Linked DNA regions of Elephas maximus indicus. The protein of the gene in region 1 purifies or fractionates together with the protein of each later gene. This does not show direct contact. Links are inferred from orthologs where the notes say so. Each region holds a gene or a part of one and is shown in the gene's direction. Other genes may lie near its edges.

The links.
Region 2: the proteins of FOXO1 (region 1) and SIRT2 purify together in Homo sapiens (affinity purification with western blotting; 3 studies listed by BioGRID). This does not show direct contact. The link is inferred for Elephas maximus indicus from reciprocal best matches to the Homo sapiens genes FOXO1 and SIRT2.

Annotation. Positions count from the first base shown.
Region 1 is NC_064832.1:24,269,085-24,276,643, reverse strand, and holds the start of FOXO1 (forkhead box protein O1), read left to right. Parts: upstream 1-4,474; 5' UTR 4,475-4,903; coding exon 4,904-5,554; intron 5,555-7,559. UniProt on the Homo sapiens protein: Transcription factor that is the main target of insulin signaling and regulates metabolic homeostasis in response to oxidative stress.
Region 2 is NC_064829.1:112,632,176-112,639,994, forward strand, and holds the start of SIRT2 (NAD-dependent protein deacetylase sirtuin-2), read left to right. Parts: upstream 1-4,757; 5' UTR 4,758-4,826; coding exon 4,827-4,842; intron 4,843-5,632; coding exon 5,633-5,679; intron 5,680-7,819. Other genes in the region: NFKBIB (NF-kappa-B inhibitor beta), read right to left, coding at 4,185-4,363. UniProt on the Homo sapiens protein: NAD-dependent protein deacetylase, which deacetylates internal lysines on histone and alpha-tubulin as well as many other proteins such as key transcription factors.

The DNA of each region.
Region 1 (7,559 bases):
CACCTACTGCCTTAGAGTCGATTCTGATTCGTGGTGACCCCATAGGGCTTCCAAGGCTATGAATCTCTACTGAAGCAGACTGCCACATCTTTTTCCCTCGGAGCTGCCAGTGGTTTCAATCCTCCAACCTTCTGGTTAGCAGCTGATCGCTTTAACCACTGCACCACCAGAGTTCCATAGATGAAATCCATTTACCCAGATCCAATCATTACTAACATTTTTTAGCTGACAGTAGTACCTTCCAATCTTTTAAACATTGTATCACCAGCATTTCCTGAATGTCATTACAAACTTTGTCAACAACTTTATTTTAAATGGCTGCATAAAATCCTACCTTACAGACATGACGTTCTTTACTTAAACATTGCCCTAATGTTGGCCATCTCGTTATTTTTCTTCAAAATGGTGACTATGGTTGTGTTTCAATTTTTTATGCCTTACCAAAAATCCCATTGCCGTCGAGTGGATTCTGACTCATAGCAACCTCATAGGACAGCGTAGAACTGCACCACAGGGTTTCCAAGGGGTGGCTGGTGGATTCGAACTTCCAGCCTTTGGGTTAGCAGCCAAGCTCTTAACCACTATGCCACCAAGGCTGCACTTTTATGCTTTAGCATTCCTTATATTCATCAAACATTTTTTGTGTGACAATTAAATATTGTCAATATGTAGTGTTGATTATTAAAGAGCTATATATTCTTAACACTGACATCAAATATCATATCAAGGAAAAGAAAATAAACCATTTATGACCTCAAGGAACTTTCCATCAGAACAACAGACTGTAAGACGCACAGTGCCTGGCATGTAGTAGGCGCTCATTTGTTGAATGTATCCAAAATCCAGAGGAAATTATTCCTCAAGTAAAATGAATGACTACTTCCAGTACTACTACAACTACCAGTTAATGTGCCAGCCTGCAGGTCACTGGTTTCAGGATAGAGGCTGTGCTTGTTCCTATTATTACTTTCTATGGGCACACTGAAGAAAGACTGCTTTAAGTTGAAGGCAGTACCTCCTAATAATTCAGACAAAATACTGGAAATGGACAGTTGTTGGGGAAAGGAAATGTGAGGCATGGAGATAAGTTCCACAACTGAGAAGTAAGCATTCGAGTTTTCACTTAGTCGTTAAGCTGGACTTAAAGTACCTGTTTTGACAAATAAGAATTTAAAGCAGAGATGGCGCATTGGTGGCAGGGGTACGTGCAGAAGTTTCTGCCCAGGAATTGATCAAAGGCAGGTGTCGTGCTCTTCCTGTTGACGATGGTGCAATCCTTACCCAGCATAAAAAAGAACATCGCATTTGTTTGTGAGGTTAAGCTTCTTCTTGATTTTAATTGTCCTTATTTGGCAGGAAATATTTTTTTCCCAGTTTGGCCACATGCACCAACTAATACATAATAATCGTTAGAAAAAGACTTCAAAGCAGAATTAAATGCCAACTTAAATACTTTGGTATCCTTCAGAGAGAGGACATTTACATTTTGACTTAAAAAACAAAACCACTCTTTTGTAACCTCCTTTCTTTGATTACCTTACTATTATCTTTGTTTGCTTGCTTAATCTTTTACATCAAACCTTCATTCAGTTCAATGGAGTCATCTAACTAAAATGACTGAGATTCTGTGGGACTAATGGGAAACAAACCAGATAATTACAATAGTTATCTATCTGTATGTTGGGATTCTAGGATCTTTATAATTTTCTTTATACCCTTATGGATTTTTCCAAATTAGCTACAAGGAGCATGCATTATTGCTATTAACCTCCCCGCCCGCCCCCCCCAAAAAAGATCCCCTGACGTTGGAAGAGTACATCTTGTGTATCGAGAAGATCATTGCAGGAAAGTAAGAAACCGAAGCTCCAGCTCTGACACCACTCTCAGTGTGTGCTCTTTGGCACATGGTTTAGACTCTCTGTGCCTCAGTATCCCCATTATACATTAAAGAATCTGCAAGATGATTTCCAAGTTTACTTTAAACTTTAATGATCTGTGGCTCTATCTGAAAAGAAAATTTAGCTTGATACAACCCTTACGGACAGCAATTTGGCAGTGTCTCTCAAAATTACAAATGCTTATACCTGCTGACCCAGTGATCCCATTTCTGGAAATTCCTCCTGGTAATACTTGCACAGATGCAAAATGACAGTTGTACAAGGCTACTTGTTATGGAGCTGTTAGTAACAGCCATAGACTGGAAACAAACCAGATGTTCACCAATATGGGAATGGTAGGCCAGTTATAAAAAGAATGAACATTTTTATAATATAGTTAAAATATTTGTTTGAATTATGTGTGAGGGAGATGGGCATTGTAGGTTCTCTGTGCCTGCTCCAAGTTTTTTTTTCTTTTTGTTTTTAAAGAGCAAACGAAAACAGACCGACACTTAAAGAAAAAAAATTAGGCAAGATAGCAGAGCAGATTTCAAGGATCAGGGGGAAGTCTGCAGGAAAACTCTCTTAACCAAATACTGAGGCCTGGGAAAACCGGAATTAAAATGAAGGCAAGGCCAAATTTGCAGCTGACTTCCTTTGCCAAGAATGATTCACTAGGGCACCATTGACTAGTAGGTTATGGTTTGAATACGGCTGTCTCTGCAGACAGTAAAGGCCCCTCCCCCGCCCCGGCGCCCGCGGTGGGAGGCCGGGGGTTAGGGGGTACTAAGGGCTCTACACTGCAGCCTTTGGCTGAGCTTATCATCTGGGTTGCTGAGGTCCCCTAGTGGCTGGCAGGGGAGCCCCAAACTGTCCAAATTTGATAGTAAAACGTAAAGAGACCAAAAGACGAGGGTGATGACCAACTTCTATCTCCAATCCAACCCTTTCACCCTCACCCTACCCGTCCCCAATATCAGTAGGAAGCTGTTGTGATAAATGGATTAGGAAGAAATAAGGTTTTGAACTAAGGGGATGATAGTGACAATGGAAAAGAAGGAATAAATGTTATTTATATCCCTCTAAATTTTTAAAACTTTTGTAAAATAGGCCTAATTTTTTTTGGATGCAACTTTTCCAAATGACGTATTGCCTGTAAGAAAGAGATGAGATTGTTTTAGAACTTGGGAGCTATCATTTTGGACAAGACATTAAAAACCCTGCTATCTTCCATCCTAAATGATCCCATCCTTCTAAAAGTCCACCAGGCGTTCCTTGGAAACTACTCTGTCCTATAGGGTCGCTATGAGTCGGAATCGACTTGACGGCAATGGTTTCCACATCCTTCTTAAAAAAACAACAACAAAAAACAAAACTTGAAAACTGTTTCTCCTGCTCCCTGAGACAAGGGCCATTGTCTTCCTACCTTTGGCCCCACTGATCCTCGACAGGACGTCCTGGACCTGGAGCCCAAATGGGGGAAGGTAGGGCCGTGGGCGTGGGGCTGACTGACGCATGCGGTTAGCAGCCTAAAGGAACTTGAGCAGGGCTGTGCCCAAGGCTTGGGTCCTATCGTCTCTTGCATTTTCACTCCTCAATACTGCATCCTTTCTATTCTAAACAGAATAAATAAATAAACAATTAAACTTATTTGGGGGCAAGTGATCTAGTGACAAGGTTCTTGCTGACTGTTCCCCTTGACCTCTTTCGCCCCTCTCCCCTTAACAGGGTGGGCAGAGTCTGAGGTTCCCATCCAGGGGAAGAGGTTCCTAGATGGAACTGTGCTTCCATACAGAATACGAATCTTTCCGTCATTTCTAGCTGTTTGGGTCAAGAATGGAGTGGGCTAGGCCGGTGGCTGTGGGCTGGGCGACTGACCCCCGGCTACGCCCAGGGCGGGCGCGGAGGCTCGGCTCCGGGCTGCGCACAGGTGGTCCCCGCGCGGAGGCGTCGGCGAGGGCGCTCTCGGCGCGGACTGGCAGCCAGGGCCAGCGCCCGGGGCGTGTGCCTGCCGCGCGGGGGCCCAAGGACTTGACAGATCGCCGGGAAGAAAACGTGGAACAAAAACAAACCCCGCTGCCTTCCCCACCTCGCTCTGCAAAGAAACCGTGGGTGGAGTCGAGAGGGGGCGAGCGAGCAGAATTTTGCGAGGCCGCCTCCGCCCTCACAGCCCGCGCCCCGGCCCGCCGCCCGTCCGCCCACTCGCCGGTCCGGGTCCGGCACGGAGCTCGGGCGGAGCGGGCAGTCGCCCCGCTCGGGACCGCCGAGTACTCGGCTTTGCTTTCCGTAGTAAACAAAGTGTGGCCGCCGCCTCCACGCCAGTGTGCCTCCTAGGAATCAGAACACCGAGAGGGCGAGAGACTTGCAGACACACTCGAGAACTACCAGAAAATAATAACAGATCCAAAAAAAAAAGTCAGTGTGTGAAAGAGAAAAACAGCCCACTGCCCCCCACCAATCTGCAGCCACCTCCCCGTGGAAACCGGTCCCCGCCCAGGCCGGCGCTCACTGGCGGCCCACGGGCGCCGCCGCATGCCCATTGGCCGCGCCGGCTGCCACTCAGGGGCGGGCCGGCGCGCGCGCGGCCGCGGGCGGGAGGCCGTGGCAGATCCCGTAAGTCGGGCGGCCGCGTAGTTGCTGCCGCCGCCGCCGCCACATTCAACAGGCAGCAGCGCCGCCGTCGTGCCGCCGGCGAGAGTGAGCGAGCTGCCCGCGACGTCCGTCCGGCCGTGCTTCCGTCCGCGGGCCCTGTCAGCGGGCGCCGGCGCTGCCCCGTGGCTCCGGCCCGCCGTCCCGTCGCGCAGCGGACCCAGAGAAGCCCGGCGTGCTTGATGGACCCGCGAAGTTAAGTTCTAGGCTCGCGCTTCCTTCCCCTTCGAGCTCCTGCCTCCCGGTTTCCGTCGGCTCCCGCAGCGACCTCGCCCCCAAATCTCGGACCGGCTCTCGGCTCCCCTCTCCCGCCGCCAGCCGGTGCTGCGCTCTCCCCTTCTTTGCGCTCCAGCGGCGGGGGAGGGGCGGGGGTCACCATGGCCGAAGCGCCCCAGGTGGTGGAGATCGACCCGGACTTCGAGCCGCTGCCGCGGCCGCGCTCGTGCACCTGGCCGCTGCCCAGGCCCGAGTTCAGCCAGTCCAACTCGGCCACCTCCAGCCCGGCGCCGTCGGGCGGCGCGGCCGCCAGTCTCGACCCCGCGGCGGGCCTGCCCCCGGGCTCGGCGGCCGCTGTCAGCGCCGACTTCATGAACAACCTGAGCCTGCTGGAGGAGAACGATGACTTCCCGCCGGCGCCCGGCTCCGTGGCGGCGGCCGCGGCGGCGGCGGCTGCGGCGGCGGTGGCGGCGGTCGCAGCTGCCGCCACCGGGGGGCTGTGTGGGGACTTCCAGGGTCCGGAGGCGACCTGCCTGCACCCGGCGCCGCCGCAGCCACCGCCGCCCGGGCCGCTGCCGCAGCACCCGCCCGTGCCCCCCGCCACTGCCGGGCCGCTCGCGGGGCAGCCGCGCAAGAGCAGCTCGTCCCGCCGCAACGCGTGGGGCAACCTGTCCTACGCCGATCTCATCACCAAGGCCATCGAGAGCTCGGCGGAGAAGCGGCTTACGCTGTCGCAGATCTACGAGTGGATGGTCAAGAGCGTGCCCTACTTCAAGGATAAGGGCGACAGCAACAGCTCCGCGGGCTGGAAGGTGAGCGGGCCAGGCGGCCGCGGGGGCTCCGGCATCCGTCCGGGTCGCGGTGGGCAGCCGAGGGGGCACCTGTGCAGGTTCGCCCTCCCTGAAGGTGCGGGGCACGAGGGCGGCGCGTGCAGGCGAGAGCAAGGAGAAGTGGCCGAGGCGGGCGGTGGGTCTGCCGAGGACCAGAAGCGGTCCGGGGACCGGTTAGAGGTGTGTGTGCGCGCGTGTGAGTGAAAGATGGAAAGGGACAGGGAAGGGGCCTGTTTCGGGACTGAGGCTGTGAAGAAAGTACGCCGAGAAGTGGAGGTCAGCCCAAGTGGAAAAGTTCGCCAGGAAAAGGAGAGGAAGCTCCCCTTGGTCCCGCGCCCCCACGGCCGGCGTGGGCTCCTGCTCGTGGCTCCCGTCCCTCGCGGAGCTCGGGGTGAGGGCGACTCCTCCGCCCCAGCGGGGCGCGTCCCCCAGCCGTTTCCGCCGCGCTCAGCGGGGGAGGCGCTGCGAGGGGCGCGGGGCGCGGGGCCCCGCCGCCGGAACCCGGACCGCAGGTGGAGGGGGCAGGGAGGGCGCGAGCCGGCCGGAGCCGGTGCCGAGCCGGTGCGGGGCCGCCGCGCAGCTCCCGGCGGCCGGTGCGCACTTTGCTTTGTTTTGATTTTATCCGAAGTGGCCTGGCGTGCGAGGGGCCGGGCGCGCCGAGCCCGAGGCAGCGCCCCCGACACGTGCGGAGGGGCCGCCACCGCCAGCCGAGCGCCGGCGCCGGGCCGCGCGGGCGAGCTGAGCGCCAGGAGTGACCCTCGGCGGGGCGGGGGCGGGAGCTGGCGGCGAGGGAGGGGCCGCGGGCGCAGGAAGCGGCGCCTTTAAAGGGCCAGCGCGTCCGGGCCGCGCGGTCGGCGCGCTGGCGGCGGGGCCGGCGCTTTCCGCGCAGGGAAGTGCTCCCAGATTTGGCCGCGCCCCAAGTGACCGGGGCTGGGGATGCGTTTGTCTTCTCTCTTGCCTCCTCAGTGCTTATCGAGCGCGGAGGTGCAAGTGAGCGGCGAAGCAGGGCTCCCTTTCAGACGGCGTTTTGAGGGAGTCGGAGCGGAGGTGCGCACCAGTGGAACGCGCGGGACCTTCCGGCTGGCGGGGAGCTGTAGATGACTGTGTCTCCGGCTCCTTTTCGCTATTCGGGGAGAAAGAGAAAAAGAAAGAATCACGGGGCAGGCCGATGTATCCCTACCCCGAGGTGGAGCAGGCCTCGAGGTCCACCGGGGGACCGGCCCTGAGGTGGCTTTCCTTTGGTCCATTCGCTGTTTGGCCTCAGGAAGCTGGCAGTTTCTGCTTGTCACAGCCGGCGGTTTGATGTAAAGAATCAAACTCCCTCCTCCCTTTTCTTCGCTTGACTCAACAGCATAATAAGAATCGGCCTTTGCTGCGCAGTTGTAACGTTCAGCATGCTCGATATAACTGTCATCTCTGTCGTTAATGTGTGTCAAAAAGGTCACGTTGCGAACATCATGCTGAAGTTCCTGGAGAAGCAGCCAGGGTTTATTTTTTCCAAAATATGTTTTGGAGTAAAAGTTATCACTTACCGTAAACGTTATTACTAGGCATTATATGCAGTTTGACCAAGTGTTCCGAAAAAGGAAAGTGCCTCCTTTAAGCTCTGCACATATTTGAAATCACAAAATTGGGATTGTCTGCAAAATCCAATTTTACTTAATATTTGAATTTAAGTACTTACTTGCTCCCCTGTCAGTACCGCTTGAATTATTTAGTATAAAGCATTTGGCATTTAAAAAGAAGCAAACTTTTTTTGTAGTACGTTGTCCATTTTTACGTCCTTCGGAATGGATACAACGTACTTCAGCTTGCTTGTCTTTATAGATAGAGAAAGGCAATGTTTTGGGATTATTTTTAGTTTTGCCTCTTAAATGACATTAAGTCCCTTTTTAAAAGATACGATTATAATTTTATTTCATTTTATTTTGTTATCAGAGCAAGAACTAGTAAGTATTAAGGAAAATACATGTCCAGAATTGGAGGC
Region 2 (7,819 bases), on another chromosome or scaffold:
AGCCATTGAAAATTCTATGGGGTACAGTTCCACTCTGACGCACACAGGGTCTCCGTGAGTCGGAAACGACTAGATGCAACATGTATGTATTACATAAATGGTTTTTTTACTATATGTGAAGTGGCATAATATCACTTGAAGTAGGCCATAATTTAAAGTTATATACTAAAAGCCCTAAAACAAGGTTCAGTAAACTTTCTCTGTAACGGGCCAAATATTTTAGGCTTTCCAGGCTGTATGGTCTGTGCCCTAACTATTCAACTCTGCTGTTACGATCCAAAAGCAGCCATAGACAGTGCGTAAACGAACGAGGGTGGTTGTGCTCCAATAAAACTTTATTTATGGGCACTGAAACTTGAATTTCATACAATTTTCACTTGTCATGAAATATTATTCTTGTTTGGATTTTTTTTTTTTTTAACCATTTAAATGTATAAAACCCATTCTTAGCTTATAGCCATACAAAATCAGACAGCTGACCAGATTTTGCCTACAGGCCATAGTATGGCAACCCCTGCCTTAAATCAACCACTTAAGTAACAAAACAAAGAGTTATAGCTAATAAGCCAAGAAATGAGAGAAAGAAAGTAGAATTACAAAAAATACTCAATTATTTCAAAAGGAGGCAGGAAAAAGGAAACAAAGAACAGATAGGACAAGTAGAAAACTAATAGCAAAATGATAAATTTAAATGTAACCATATCAATAATTACACTAAACAGTCTAAACAACCCCACTTAAAGGCAGAGATTTTCAGATTGAATAAAAAAGCAAAACCCATCTATATGCTGTCTACAAGAAATGCCCTTTTCACAATGTAGGCGAGGTCAGCACAACTGGACTAAATGAAAAGCAAGGAAGTTTCTGGAATAAACTAAATGCTTCGAAGGCCAGCATGGCAGAGGCAGGGGTTTGGGGACCATGGTTTCAGGGGACATCTAAGTCAATTGGCATAATAAAATCTATTAAGAAAACATTCTGCATCCCACCTTGGAGAGAGGCGTATGGGGTCTTCAACACTAGCAAGCGGCCATCTAAGATGCATCAATTAGTCTCAACTCACCTGGATCAAAGGAGAATGAAGAACACCAAGGACATAAGGTAATTACGAGCCCAAGAGACAGGAAGGGCCACATAAACCAGAGACTACATCAGCCTGAGACCAGAAGAGCTAGATGGTGCCCAGCTACAACCGATGACTGCCCTGACAGGGAACACAACAGAGAACCCCTGAGGGATCAGCAGGGCAGTAAGATGCAGACCCCAAATTCTCGTAAAAAGACCAGACTTAATGGTCTGACTGAGACTAGAAGGACCCCGGTGGTCATGGCCCCCGGACCTTCTGTTAGCCCAGGGCAGGAACCATTTCTAAAGCCAAATCTTCAGACATGGATTGGACTGGACAATGGGTTGGAGAGGGATGCTGGTGAGGAGTGAGCTTCTTGGATCAGGTGGACACTTGAGGCTATGCTGGCATCGCCTCCCTGGAGGGGAGATGAGAGGGTGGAGGGGGTTAGATGCTGGCGAAATGGAACGAAAAGAGAGAGTGGAGGGAGGGAGTGGGTTGTTTCATTAGGGGGAGAGCAATAGGGAGTATGTAGCAAGGTGTATATAAGTTTTTGTGTGAGAGACTGACTTGATATGTAAACTTTCACTTAAAGCACAATAAAAAAAATTTTTTTTAATGCCCTTTAAATATAAAGACACAAATAAGTTAAAAATTAAAAGATGGAAAAGATATACCATGCTAACGCTGGTCACAAGAAAGCTGGAGTATTTTATTATCAGAGTAGAGCCGTTAATATCAGAGCTTCAAAATACACAAAGCAAAAACCAACAGGATTACAAGGAAAAACAGACAAATCCCCAATTACAGTTGGAGATTTCAATACACCCCTCTCAATAATTGGTATAACAAGTAGACAGAAAATCAGCAAAACTAGAAAACACTATACACCAACTTGACCCAACTGACCTTTGGAAAACGCTCCTTGCAACAATGGCATAACGCACATCCTTCTCAAGCACACATGTAACATTTACCGAGACAGACCATATTCTGGGCCATAAAACAAGTCTCAATAAATTCAAAAGGATTCAAACCATACTAAGTATGTTTTCTGGCCACATGAAATCAAATTAAAAAATCTGTTAACAGAAAGAAGCGTGGAAAACCTTCCAAATATTTGGAAGCTAAACAACATACTTTTAAATAACCCAAGGGTCAAATAAGAAATCAAAAGAGAAATAGAAAGCATATTGAATTAAATGAAAATGAAAACACAACACATCAGAATTTGTGAGATATTGCTAAAGCAGTACCAAACCAAAACCAAACCCACTGCCGTCGAGTCGATTCCAACTCACAGCGAACCTACAGGACAGAGTAGAGCTGCCCCATAAAGCGTCCAAGGAATGCCTGGCGGATTCGAACCGCCAACCCTTTGGTTAGCAGTCGCAGCACTTAACCACTACACCACCAGGGTTTCCACTAAAGCAGTAGTAAGGGGAAAATTTATACAGCTATACGCCTGTATCAGATAAAAGGGAAAAGGCTCAAGTCAATAAGCTCAGCTCCTATCTTAGAAAGTTAGGAAAAGAAGAATAAATTAAAACTAAAGTAAGAAGAAAGGAAATAATTAAGATCAGAACAGAAATCAATGAAATAGAAAGCAGAAAAACAACAGGGAAAATTAATGAAAAAACAACCTGGTTCTTTGAGAAGGCCAATGTTTATTAACTGCCAAGGAAAAGAGAGTCCTGGAGATCTACTTCTAAAAAACCAAAAAAAACAGCCACTGAAAATACTGTGGAACACAGTTCTACCGACACACATGGGGTTGCCGTGAGTTGGAACGGACTTGAAGGCAACTGGTTGGTATGGATCTAGGAGATGGTGGGTGGTACAAATGGTTAACATGGTTAACATCCTTGGCTGCTAACCGAAAAGCTAGAGGTTTGAATCCACCTAGAAGCACCTAGGGAGAAAGGCCTGGAGATCTACTTCCAAAAAATCAGCCATCGAAAACCCTGTGGCACACAGTTCTGCTTTGATACACGTGGTGTTGTCATGAGACAGCACCAACTTCACAGCAACTCGTTGGTTACTACGGGTCTGGCACTGTCCAAGTCACTGGGGTACAGCAATAAACAAAACTGACAAAAGACCCCAGGCCTGTATGACTGCTATTCCTTCTGCCTGCAATTCTCTTCTTTCCAGATACCTATTTGTCTCATTTTCCTGCTATTTCTCCGTAACACTTGCTATCTTCTGATAGACTATGTTTTTATTTCCTTCCTTCCTGTCTTTCTTTCTGTCTGACCTTCTGTCTGTCTAGCTCTCCCACCTAGAATGTATGCTCCATAAGGACATAACTTTTTGTCTGTTTTCTTCATAACCTTATCACTGGCATCTAAAACAGGGCCTGGCACATGGTACCAAAAAAAAAAAAAAAAACCCACTACCATCCAGTCAATTCCAACTCATAGTGACCCTATGGGATAGAGTAGAATTGCCCCCATAGGGTTTTCAAGGAGCGGCTGGTGGAGTCAAACTGCTGACCTTTTGGTTAGCAGCCAAGTTCTTAACCACTATGCAACCAGGGCTTCAAAACATGGTAGTTTTCAATAAATATTTGTTGAATGGATGAATCCCTGCTCTCATGGAGCTTACAATCTCTCTCTGAATGAAAGATTTGAAAATTACTGCTCCAGAGGCAGGACCTTAGAGTCAGGGGCCAACTATAATGTCAGAAATCAAAGTCTAGGCTTACAAATCATGAATTAAGGATTAAAGACCATGTCTGGAGGTTAGAGGTCAGGAGGTTAGAGGTCTCGGGCCACATGAGGTCAAATTGGGTTTTGGGATCAGTGGGTTAGGGATGTGGATTCCAGGAACTAAGAATCAAGAGTTCAAGAAAGGAGAGTCAAAAATGATTGGGTTTAAAAAAAAAATTTACATATATATATATATACACACACATATATGGTTAAGATCAAAGTTGGATAGATTGATTTATTAAAGATTAGGATTTGGGAGTTAGACGTCAGGAAGTCAAGGATCAGAGGTCAGATTTAGGAGTAAAGGTTAGAAAGCCGGATCAGACCACTGGGGTATCAGGTAAAGCTGATCTTATCCGAGGTTGGATCCTTGGGGCCGGTTCGGGAGTCTAAGGTTCACTCACGTGTCCCCATCCTCAGTGACGTAGCCGAAGACGAGGGGCACCCACGAAAGCCCCGGGCCCAGCTCTGCGCCCAGCCCCGGTCCTCCGGGGACCGCTGCGTCCGGACCCAACGAGCCCAGGCCGCTGTCGCACCACTCATCCGCATCTGCGGCTTTCCCCAAGCACGCGACCCCGGCCATGCCCCCCTCTGCCTCCGGGACCCCAGAGGCCGCCCTCCGCCAGCCTGCCTGCCTCTGGGCTGTGCCCGGACCTCTGGAGCTTCCGCCCTGCGGGGAATTCCCCAACACTCCCCCTACTGTCTCCAATAAGAGTGGGCTAAATCGCTCACGTCCCGCCCAATCTCGCACCAAGACCAATCAGAGTGTCGGAATGGACTACAGCTCTCGACCTGTTCCCACATTTTCCGGGCGCCCTTTACCAACATGGCTGCCGACGCGCGGCCCTCTGGGACTCGTAGTCCGGCTCTCGTGTACCTTCCTTATCCGGAGGGACGCGCTCCGATCTTTGAGAGAATCGCTTGTCTGCGGCCGCTATTGCTTCTGGGAGTTGTAGTTCTCTGCCTCTTCCTTGCCTCTCCCCCTTCCGGTGCCGTCACGGGACAGAGCAGTCGGTGACAGCCCCGAGGGCCCCGGCCCCGCGCCCATGGCCGAGCCGGACCGTGAGTCGAGGGCTCTGGTGGGAGGGACGGGCCGCACCGGGGCCTGGTTTCGTGATCCAGGCCCTGGGGCCCGAGAGCGGGCGCGGTGGGGCAGGAGGTGGAGGCTGCGTGGGGGAGTGGAATTTGAAGGGCCATTGCTAAATGCTCTGTGTCGATAGGTTGTTGGGTTTCTGGGTCGCGAGGTTTTAAGGGTCACTTTACCGTGTTACTGATAATCGCATGTTTTTCGACCCTCGTTGCTAAGGACCCTCGTTGCCGCGATCCCGGTTGCTAAGGGTACCTGGTTGTTAGGGGCAGCTGTATGATGCTAGGCGGCCCCGGTGTTCCCTCCTATCTCTTCCCTCTAGTTCCTGTACCTCTCCTAAACCTACCACCGCCACCGCACCTCCTCTCCCAAACCCGCCTCCCAGCCAGGGTATCCCTTCCTACCTCCTTTCTTCCTAAATTTCCCTCCACCCTGGAAACCTAACCCCCTCAACACACACACACGGCTGTGCCCTTTCTAACTCTTTCTAACTCTTCTTCCACACCCTGTATCCCTTCCTTTCTCCTCTCTGTCCCCCTAAACCTGTCCCTCCCCTGCCTCTCTGTCCCTCACTAGCCACCTCCCTTCCCAGCAATCTCCACTCTAATATGATCAGCTTTTCCTCATCCCCTCCTCTCTACTCCTTACCCCAGTGTGACTAGGTCGGTGGGTCTTCTGGGTCCCCCTACTCCCGCTCTTAACCCCTTCATTCCCCCTTAACCATCCCCCCCTGCTGTAACCATGTCTGCTCCCCTCCTCCCCCAGCCTCTGACCCTCTGGAGACCCAGGCAGGGAAGGTGCAGGAGGCTCAGGTGAGATGGGGTAAAGGGTGGAATGGAGGGAAGGAGACAGATGGACTTGTTCCTACATCCCACACTGGGGGAGGCGGCAGAGGGAAACCAGTTCCCCTAGGGCCCCCAGCTCACTGCCCCAGGCCCTCTCCCCCACCCAGGGTGCAGCCTCCTGGGGAATGGTGGATTCTGGTGACTTTCAGAGAAGGGTGTGTTACCCCAGTCCCAGGCCTGCCCTCCCAGGTTCCCTCTTTCCTTGTCCCTCTTCCCCCCATCCCTTCTGAACCTCATTTGTACTGGGCCTGGGAGAGACACACATCAGATTTGGTCCCTGAACTCACGGCTCTCACAGAAAAATCACTAGAAAATGAGTCTATAAGGGAATAATGGAGGTATCTCAGGCCACTGTGGGAGTAAGCCTTGTGGGATCACAGACTCTACCTAGCCCCTTCCCTGGAGGAATCCACAGGCTGGCCTAGGAGTCAGATTGAGATATAGACACAGTGTAGTCGGTGAAGACTGGCTTAGAATGTTCCTACACAAGGTGACAAATGGTGTTCCAAGCAGAGGATGTAGTTTGTGCAAAGACCTGGAGGCATGAAAGACTGTGATCTGTTCAGTAGTTTGGTGGCTGGGGATGGTTGTTGTTAGGTGCCATGAGTTGATTCCAACTCGTAGCAGCCCCATGTGACTGAGTAGAACTGTCCTATAGGATTTTCTAGGCTGTAATCTTTACAGGAGCAGATTGCCAGGTCTTTCTCCCAGGTAGCCACTGCATGCTTTCGAACCCCCAATCTTTCAGTTAGCCACTGAGCACTGGCCGGTTGCACCACTAGGGCTCCTTTGGCTAGGAATGGTCGAATAATTATATCCATGGCTAGCATTGATTGAGTGCTTACTCTGTGCTGGAAACGCTGGTGGTATAGTGGTTAAGTACTACAGCTGCTACCCAAGAGGTCGGCAGTTTGAATCTGCCAGGCGCTCCTTGGAAACTCTGTGGGGCAGTTCTACTCGGTCCTATAGGGTGGCTATGAATTGGAATCTACTCAACAGCAGTGGGTTTGGGTTTTTTTGGTTACTCTGTGCCAGGCACTCTGTTTAGTGCTTTGTATGCATCGCCTGGTTTAACCTTCCCGATATCCCTGGGAGGCACACGCCCGTTGTGTAGATGAGGAATCTGAGGTATCTGGGGTATCTGGGGCAGAGGTGATAAGACTTGCCTTCTGTCCCTTGGCTAGAAGAGCAGGAAAGGGTTTGGAACTCAAGACCTTCAGCATACTGCCCTCCAGACACTGAGACGACAGGGCCGCCTCCTAGAAGCTGGAGGCTGGAAGACTTCGCCAGCACCTCCACCTCCCCTGTAGGCAAAGCTGCCCCTGGCTGGGCAGGGCCCTGGAGTCCTCCCACAGAGCCTCTTTGTCTCCAGCCCACCCACAGATGCGAGATGGCTTTGCAGATGTAGACCAGTGTAGATGCTGGGATTAAAGTACCTCACAGAGGCATAGCACAGTGACACTGAGGGTATGAGAGCTTCCCCTCAGGCCAGGGTTTCAAACCCCCCTAGCTCCCAAAGCACCACTGCTGTCATGTGGGGTCCAGAGAAAAAGGCTTAGTATTAGAAAGGGATCCTCAGTCCCCGAGAGAGATGGAGGACGTAAATCGCAGCATTGTCTCTGCAGTGTGGCAAAGCTGGAAACAGCTCAAATGGCTGTCAGTAGATGAGTTAAATGAACTGGTTCGTCCATACAATGGGACGCTATGCAGTTGCTTAAAAGGAGGAGGTGGGTCTGTACTGTACTGTTCTCTGGAAAACTGCAAGGTGCAGCCTCAGACTAGGGCCTGACCCATTTCTATCAAAATAGTGAACGTTTACATGTAGAGGAGAAAGCTGGCATAATTAACATCAAAACTTAACTAATAGCGGTTATCTCGATGGGGCCTGGGAGAGAGAACCATGAGGCAAGTGCCCCAAGTTACACATTTTCTAACCTTCAAAGTTTTTGCAAAGCTTGTGTAATCTTAAAAAGTGTCAAAGAAAGAATCATACCAGATAGTGTTAAAACATGGCGAGGGTGACTTTGATTCAAAGGGAAGTTGCAAGGGGAGGGGAAAGAAATACAAAACTGGATGGATGGAGCACTGTAGTGGGAGGAGAGGGAGC